Saccharomyces cerevisiae S288C: one gene and its partner. Changing the gene in region 1 together with any one later gene gives a genetic interaction. Each region holds a gene or a part of one and is shown in the gene's direction. Other genes may lie near its edges. The genes, in order: FRE2 and FRE7.

The links.
Region 2: of FRE2 (region 1) and FRE7, extra expression of one rescues a mutant of the other (dosage rescue), as found in Saccharomyces cerevisiae (one study listed by BioGRID).

The regions. Positions count from the first base shown.
Region 1 is NC_001143.9:8,523-13,123, reverse strand, and holds FRE2 (ferric/cupric-chelate reductase), read left to right. Parts: upstream 1-1,897; coding exon 1,898-4,033; downstream 4,034-4,601. UniProt on the Saccharomyces cerevisiae protein: Metalloreductase responsible for reducing extracellular iron and copper prior to import. Catalyzes the reductive uptake of Fe(3+)-salts and Fe(3+) bound to catecholate or hydroxamate siderophores.
Region 2 is NC_001147.6:38,471-43,146, forward strand, and holds FRE7 (putative ferric-chelate reductase), read left to right. Parts: upstream 1-2,277; coding exon 2,278-4,140; downstream 4,141-4,676. UniProt on the Saccharomyces cerevisiae protein: Cell surface metalloreductase. May be involved in copper homeostasis.

The DNA.
Region 1 (4,601 bases):
GAAAAAGAAACATATACCTCGTGCTAAAGAAAATAGTGCAAAATATGTAAAACTTCCAAAAGTTTACAAACAGATAGACAGCATGACGGCTGAAGCCATTCTTTCTTCAACGGCAGTGTTCTAGAGTTTTCATCTGCAAATATACCTAAATTTTTTCCATCATTTCTTGCAGTTAATACGTCAACAGTCACGATGACTACGGACAAACGTTTACTGTTCGGATATCAAGTATCGATATTAAGTACTCAATATTACAGGCATTATGATCTGGCCTAGTGAACAAATATAATCAGCAAATTTAGCGGAACCGATATCAAGAAGTTAAAAAATGTCTATGTGTTAACCAAGATCCACATACTTAGAATGTACCATAGTAGATGCTTATAAAAGAGCGCCATGTAGTTCCGCATTGTATCAGCTAATGAGGCAAAAAAACAAGAATGATCTTTTGTACAATTTTGAAATTTTCACCTAGCAATATAGTCCCAAACCAAGATGTTTTCTATAAAAGCCTTTAATCCGGAAGTGCAAAGTGGTTGAAGACTAGCCTGAAATCTAGAATCCTTGCATATTTTTTTAAGGTTTATTTTCCTCCCTCACTATGGAAAAATGTTACATCGATAATATTATAATAAGCTAGTCAGTTTGACCGCCTAGCTAGTACTAATTATTTGTGAAACTGGTAAGAGTGTTCATTTGCCCTTCATAAGTGAACTATAATTGGTTTAGGATGCGCCAATATCTGGATTGGACCACACTATAGAATATCAGAAAAGGCAAGATTTGTTTAACAAAAAGCATGACTAAGCTAGACCATTGAGAGCAACCTCGAAACTAAGGTGGAGCTGTGATCTTGAATATTCTACTCTGGTTATCGTTAATTTCGATTAGCCCAAGATAACTCTTTTGAATTTCAAGATTTTTCAAGCTGCCTCCTTAATGATTTTATGGATTGTAGGAGGAAAAACCTTAGCGTGGTATTTCTGGAACACGGATAAGGGAAGATGCTGATTTTGTGCCGTCTTGAATACCCCTTTGAGTATTGGACACTGTTTAGACGAACGAATAATTCGAAACTTATTGAGTGTTTTTGATAGGGGGATGTATGAATACTTCCATTTTTGGTTTTAAATAAGTACAAGAATTTCACTATGAAATGGTCAAGAATGTATTCGAGAGAAAAAACTTTTTTAGGGAGAAATAAGCAGCATGAGCTACAGAGATATCCATAACAATGAATAACATCATAATGTCTCTCAGCCAGAAAACACAGCTAGACAAATACTGACTTTGCGAATGCACCAGAAATGAACCATATGGGCTAGAATCCATTGTACCAAAAGTTGCCTGTTCTTTACGTTTACCAAAGAATATCGCACAGAAAACTGTCAAAATTCATTGCGTTGTGTGACTCTAACTGGAAGTTTACTATGCAAACAGGATGATTATTGTACATTTATTCGTAATTGCACCCAGGTCTTTTTTGCCTTTATTTCGGGTTTACAGGAAAACAAGTAAATTTTGACGTGATAAAAAAGTAGACTCGTTAAATCAGGATGAAGTACCGGTAATGGTTGCATTGACAAATAGTTGGCTCAATGATGCTAGTGGGTATTGATTTTGTTGAAAATATGGGTGTATCATTCGTGCCATAATAGAATTAGCAAGCAACCTATCATTCTACATTCTAAACGATAGTACTGTTTCCTTGCTTTTCTGAATTCTTTTCTGATGAACAAAATCCCTCCTTTCTTGGACAACATACTCTAAATTCGGTTATTGCAAGGTATCATTAATTTGCCACTAAATATATAAGTCGCAAAAAATGAACATGATTTTTTGCTACAGTTGTAATAAAGTCTTTTTTATCCAAAGCTTATGAAACCCAACGAATATAATGCATTGGACGTCCATCTTGAGCGCTATTTTGCTTTTCTGCCTGTCAGGAGCAAGAGCATCACCTGCAAAGACAGTTATTCGTAACAAGGTGCCCTTGCTTGTCACTAATGCCTGCACGAGGATTTTTCAAAAAGTTACTTGGGAGTATACCAGCAAGTCTAAGCGTTCATCACCAGTATGTTCTTACGAACCAGCGTTTCAATCAATGCTGTATTGTATCTATGAAACGTTGGATGAAAAAGGTTATTCGAATAAAACCTTAGAAAAAACATTTAGTACCATCAAAAAAAACTGTGCAAGTTATAGTGATGCTCTTCAGAACATGACTAATTCTGAGTTTTATGACGTTCTAAACAACGGAACGAGGCATATGACGCCCTATGTCAAAGGCAGTGCAAACCTAACATATCCAGTTGAAATGGATACACAGTTAAGAAAAGCCTACTATCATGCATTGCATGGTTTCTATGCTAACTTAGATGTCGGAAACATATATGGTGGCATTATATGTGCTTATTTTGTCGCTATCATGGCTTTTGCAGGCGTTCTTCATTGCATGAATTACACTCCCTTTAAAACTGTTCTATTGAAGCAAAAGCTTGTGGGATATGTAAGGGGATACCTCACTCTACCTACCATTGGAAGCAAACATGCGTCAGATTTCTCTTATTTTAGAATATTCACAGGATATTTACCTACAAGATTAGAGGGTATCATTATTCTTGGATATCTCGTGCTTCATACCGTTTTTTTGGCATACGGTTATGAATACGATCCTGAAAATATAATATTCAAGTCTCGTAGAGTTCAAGTTGCTCGATATGTGGCAGACAGAAGTGGTGTACTCGCATTCGCACACTTTCCATTAATAGTTCTTTTCGCGGGAAGAAACAACTTTCTCGAGTATATTTCTGGGGTTAAATATACTTCCTTCATTATGTTTCACAAATGGTTGGGAAGAATGATGTTTTTGGATGCTATGATTCATGGCTCTGCATATACTAGTTATACGGTAGCGAATAAAACTTGGGCAACAAGTAAAAACCGATTATATTGGCAATTCGGGGTGGCAGCACTTTGTTTAGCTGGCACAATGGTTTTCTTTTCCTTTGCAGTATTCAGGAAGTATTTTTATGAAGCCTTTCTTTTTCTTCATATCGTCCTTGGTGCAATGTTCTTTTATGCATGTTGGGAGCATGTTGTTAGTTTAAGTGGCATTGAGTGGATATACACTGCTATTGCGATTTGGATCGTTGACCGGATTATTAGAATTATCAAAGCTTCTTATTTTGGTTTCCCCAAAGCTTCCCTACAACTAATCGGGGATGATCTCATTCGTTTAACAGTTAAAAAACCGGCAAGGCCATGGAGGGCCAAACCTGGGCAATATGTTTTCGTTTCGTTTTTACATCCACTGTACTTCTGGCAGTCACATCCATTTACTGTTTTGGATTCAGTAAGCAAGAATGGTGAACTGGTTATTATCCTGAAAGAAAAAAAGGGAGTAACAAGACTTGTCAAAAAGTATGTGTGTCGCAATGGAGGTAAGACATCTATGAGACTAGCTATAGAAGGTCCATATGGTTCTTCATCTCCGGTCAATAATTACAATAATGTATTGTTACTCACTGGAGGTACCGGTTTGCCTGGACCTATTGCACATGCAATTAAACTTGGAAAGACGTCAGCGGCTGCTGGAAAACAATCTGTAAAATTAGTGATTGCAGTTAGAGGATTCGACGTACTCGAGGCTTATAAGCCGGAGTTGATGTGTTTAGAAAATCTGAATGTACAGCTTCACATCTACAACACAATGGAAGTCCCATCATTAACCCCTAGTGATAGTTTAGATATTTCTCAACAGGATGAGAAGGCTGATGAAAAAGGCACTGTTGTGGCAACTACTTTAGAAAAGTCTGCCAATCCACTTGGTTTTGATGGTGTTGTTTTCCATTGCGGGCGACCAAATGTTAAGGAACTTCTACATGAAGCGGCTGAATTGAGTGGCTCATTATCTGTGGTTTGCTGTGGACCTCCTATTTTTGTTGACAAAGTGAGGAATGAAACCGCAAAAATAGTTTTAGATAAGTCTGCAAAAGCCATTGAGTACTTTGAAGAGTATCAATGCTGGTGATCATTTTTTACTTAAAACTAGTCATTTCATTAATAATACCTATCCAAATTTTAGTATGTCGATGGAGAAAGCTGCCTATAACTTTATGGTAAGGAGGTAATTGAAGCAGAGTACAGCAGTCCTTTGATATTTTATCTAAATCTTAAATATCTCTTTTATGGAATTTGTGAAAGTCGTAGTGTGTCGCATGGTTTTTTTTCTTAAGAAGTTAGCTCTGTATAGTCCCTGTATTTAAAGAGTTAATATTTCGATAAACCTGCAATGAAACCCTTTCTTGGCAATTTGGCTATATTTAAAGTGTGAACAATGGTCACTGAATTTTTATACGGCCCTCAGGCAAATTTTATGAAACGTTAATTGCGTGTTTCAGTATTATACACAGATGCAAGGAAGATAAACAAAACTGCATAAGCTAACTTCCGTCCTGGAAAATTTACCACAAGCTTTATAATGGCTGTTATTTTATTTACCATACCATCCGTTCATATATCTTTTCAATTTTCTCTGTATTCCTGTTTTTGTACTGTGGAGTAATATCACACACCGAGTCTTCGATATAATCGACATA
Region 2 (4,676 bases), on another chromosome or scaffold:
GCAGACCAAATTTTTTACACTTAGAATAGGTAGAGGAGGTTGGCTGCTTAGAAGAAGGATACACATCCGGAAGCGGAGCGTGATGAGTCTCTGTCATATAAGCGTTTTAGTATATGGGAGGAATGACAGAGTATAAGCCGTTATGGTATACTACTACGAATACATAATTAAGAATAGGGTTTTAATGTAGTTGCTTGTATATCTTCTATGTTCCCCTTTTTAAGCACCCCTTAGAAAATATATATTGTCGAGGATTTTTCTCCAGAGACCATGAAATGAAAAAGAATCCGAAATATGCACTCCTTCGACCAAGGCTTTAGAGCACCCTCATTTAAAGCCCGACCTGTAGTGCATATGCAAGATTAAGAAAAAGAACAGAGAGAAAAGTCCGCTTTACCATAATGTTAATTTATTCTAAATGCTCTCATTGACTTTTATTTCACCGACCCTGAGTCAAATTTTCGACCATGTTATATACATGCTATTTAGTAATCAAGTGATTAATTTTACCGAACTCAAAGTTGCAGCCGCAGAAAATAGTCATCTGATAATCTTATATATAGATCCGACTTATTAAAGGACATAATTTTCAAAGAATCGGGTACGTGCCTAATGCAATCATGTCGTGTCAATCAACTTCCCCCATACTATATCATTGTTTTACGCCACGTTAATAGGAACCAACGAATTTCTTAAAGCCAATCCTTACTGCTATTTGCAGATGGACTGACGGTTATGCATTCACTAACACCCCAGGTCTTACCGTACCACATATTTAGGTGCAATACTAATCAATTGTCTCTTGAACAGTAACGACGAAAGTATGAACTTCTTATCTATGCTATCTTCAACGTGATAGTTTATGCTACTTTGCAGATGTTTGAGTTAACCTGCTAAAATATATTAAAGCAGCTATAGTTATTTTGAGTTGGTCTATACAACTTCAGGAAAATGTCGTTTGAATATTCCTGCACAACGCTGGGATATTTACAACCAAAGATGCCACTACAAATAATAATGACATGTATATGAGAACATTGCAAACGATTAACGCTGCTCACTTAATGCTATGTAGACTTCAATATATGTCTTTGAAAAACGCTTTTCCACAATCACAGGATAGCAGAGGGATGCCTAGAGGAATACTCCCCGGCTAAAAATGCCTGAGACTGCCCATATATTCCCACGGTAATTATCCATATAATAACGAAATTGAGTTTTCTATAAGTAACATCAGCCCATCACCCATTTATTTGTTCTATAGAATACTATACTCTTTTGCTCCAGTGTCTTACCTCAAGTGGACGCGCTCTCAGTGCCAAATACAGAGACAACAAGGACCTGGAGAGTTGTTCATAACAAAAGTTTCATCATGCCACCAGCGTAATGACAGCCGCAGCAGTGTTTGACCAATTGAACTATGATAAAACTACATTATGGTTTCTGACTATGTCTGTACATCCATGCATCATCTTTTGAAGTTTTTATTTTGATAGCATCCTATTTTGTGACTCTTACTTTACAAGAACGCCAACATAGGGAGTGATTGATATTCTCTGAATTTATCTGGATACAGCCAATGACATCCTGAAATACCTATAGTGACAGTAGCGCATTTCCTGGTCATTTATTAATGGTTTTAGACACAAAATGAAGATAACAGATAATACGAAAGTATCTTAAACTGCAAAGGGGATCTATACGCCACGACTTACTGAACATCTCTGACCAATAGAAGATCCCTCAAGTTTATTAGGCAACTACAGTATGTTATTACAAGAGCATACGCCTGTATTTGGATGGCCAATGAACAAGGAGGATATTTTTTCCACATATAAGTGACCGCCATTAAACAAGACATGTTTGAAATAACCTCCTTCTGTCATACTATGTGCTCACTATTTTCAGAAAATGCGGTTGAAAATCCTCGTCTGCGCAAATTGAAAAAGTCGATATACGTTTCAAGTAACGCAGCCGAAATGCCCGTTTGCCAAGCTTATTATATTTGGAAAAGTGTCAAATTATAGTGCTCGCATCTGGATGTACCGCGCATATTTCTTAGTTAAGCAGGATGTATAACTGCGCATTAATACGTGAGCATTTGCGCAAATTCACTTCTTAAAATCTCTGAAGTACTTCTTCATTATGCACTCGTTTGTTCTCAAGATCATATAAACCATGCCTTTATTACCAATACTAAAAGTTTTTTATTGCAAGTAAAGGGATATTTCAAATTTTTATTTCAAAGTTTATTTATATACATCGATAAATAATAAAATGATTGAAGAAAGAGATTTGGTTTTAAGCAATGGTATCCATTGTATTGCTGACATCCACTCCGAACTATACGCCAGGTTAAAAAAAGAATCGCAGGCAGCGACACCATGGGTGTACCAAAAACAATACGGAAAATTCGTCACTTACTTTGTCGCTGTGATAATTTTTTTGTCTTTGATAAAAAAGCTGGCATTTATGTATTATGATTCCAGTGAGGAATTTCTTCCAGAAAAGAAGAACTCGCCGACTACCCCTTCTGTATTCCTTGCTCGAATAATGACGAAACTTGTCGCATTCAACAGATACATTTGCTACAGGAAATTTCCCACGTTGATATTTTCTTATTTAGGTATTCCGACATCTGTGGGTACTTTTTTAGTAGTAATGGCTACCACTTTATACACACTTCTATACTGCTTTGTTCCTCATCCATTCTACAGACCTTGTGCAGGATTTGGTTCGCCGCCTTTGTCTGTTCGTGCAGGCATAATGGCAATATCTTTGGTTCCGTTTGTATTCTCACTTTCCGGGAAGATCAACGTTATAGGTTGGTTGGTTGGGCTTTCGTATGAAAAAATCAACATATACCACCAATGGGCATCCATTCTTTGTTTATTCTTTAGCTGGGTTCATGTCATTCCCTTCCTACGTCAAGCACGACATGAGGGAGGATATGAAAGAATGCATCAACGGTGGAAGGCATCCGACATGTGGAGGAGTGGTGTCCCACCCATCTTATTTTTGAATCTGCTATGGTTATCTTCGCTGCCTATTGCTAGAAGACATTTTTATGAGATTTTTTTGCAACTTCATTGGATTTTAGCTGTTGGATTTTACATTAGTTTGTTCTATCATGTATATCCCGAATTGAATTCCCATATGTATCTGGTTGCTACAATTGTGGTTTGGTTTGCACAACTGTTTTACAGACTAGCTGTGAAGGGTTATTTAAGACCTGGTAGAAGTTTCATGGCCTCGACCATTGCAAATGTCAGCATAGTCGGCGAAGGATGCGTAGAATTGATCGTCAAAGATGTGGAAATGGCCTATTCCCCAGGTCAACACATATTCGTGAGAACTATTGATAAGGGCATCATTTCCAACCATCCATTTTCTATCTTTCCGAGTGCAAAGTATCCCGGAGGAATAAAAATGCTGATTAGAGCCCAGAAAGGGTTTTCTAAAAGGCTATACGAAAGTAATGACGACATGAAGAAAATTCTTATTGATGGGCCTTATGGTGGAATCGAGAGAGATATTAGAAGTTTTACCAATGTCTACTTGATTTGCTCTGGTTCAGGTATATCTACATGCTTACCTTTCCTGCAAAAATATGGCCCCATACTCCATAAGACAAACTTAGAAGTTATTACATTGGACTGGGTGGTAAGACATAGGGAGGATATATCATGGATTAGAGATGAAATGTGTACCCTCTCAAATAATTTGCGCCAGTTATTTTTAGATGGGAAAATTGTGGTTAGAATTTACGTCTGCTCGGACAGTACCGTCCCTGGTATTATTAAAACTTTCCCTCAAACAATAGACACCGCCAGTGACCAATCTGATTTAGCTAAAAGAGAAAAAGATACCGAATTCGGCCAGGATGATACTGAGTCAAATTCAACTTTCGACAAATCCAATAACGAATATAAAGGTCTCATCACCATTATTCCTTCCAAACCTGATTTGAATCAGGTCATTAATGATTACCAAATTGGGTTCAGGAACTGCTTCATTTGTTCAGGTTCTGACAGCCTAAGGTATACCGTCGGAAATTCCGTGGCAGGTTTACAGGCCAAGGTTTTTTCTAACAAAAATGTCGAAGAGTGCTATTTACACAGCGAGAGTTTTGGCTACTAGTAGGAAACAGATGGCATCCACCATGTGAAATATCATTCAAGCATTTCGGCAAAACCATGTAAATATTTGATTATTAGCGGGTAAATATGTAATAGTTATGCACTTTAATTCTTTTGTTCATCTAGAAGACAATACAACGCATTTCTTGGCTAACCATCTTACAGCCTTGAGGGTAAAGGGCGGGCAAACGAACAAAAGTACAAAATTTCCATCCTTGTTTGATAATCATTTCCTCGGACCAGATAAGAATGAGCAGCCGAAATAAACGGTAACGTGATTAAAACCGCTAGAAGAGTGTTTTTGTAAGGATGAAAACCTCAGTGAGAAAGTTGACAATATAAACATTATCAGCTTTTCTCGCCCTCTTTTGCACTTCCTGCAACATTACTTGTTCTGCAGCTTGTTTCTTCCAAATATATCCATGCTCTCGGTGTGCCACTTCTGGGGTTTCTCACCAATAACAGAACATATCCAGTATAATACATACACCATATTCACACCCTATTTCATATCATTAACCTCTTCATTTTTAAATG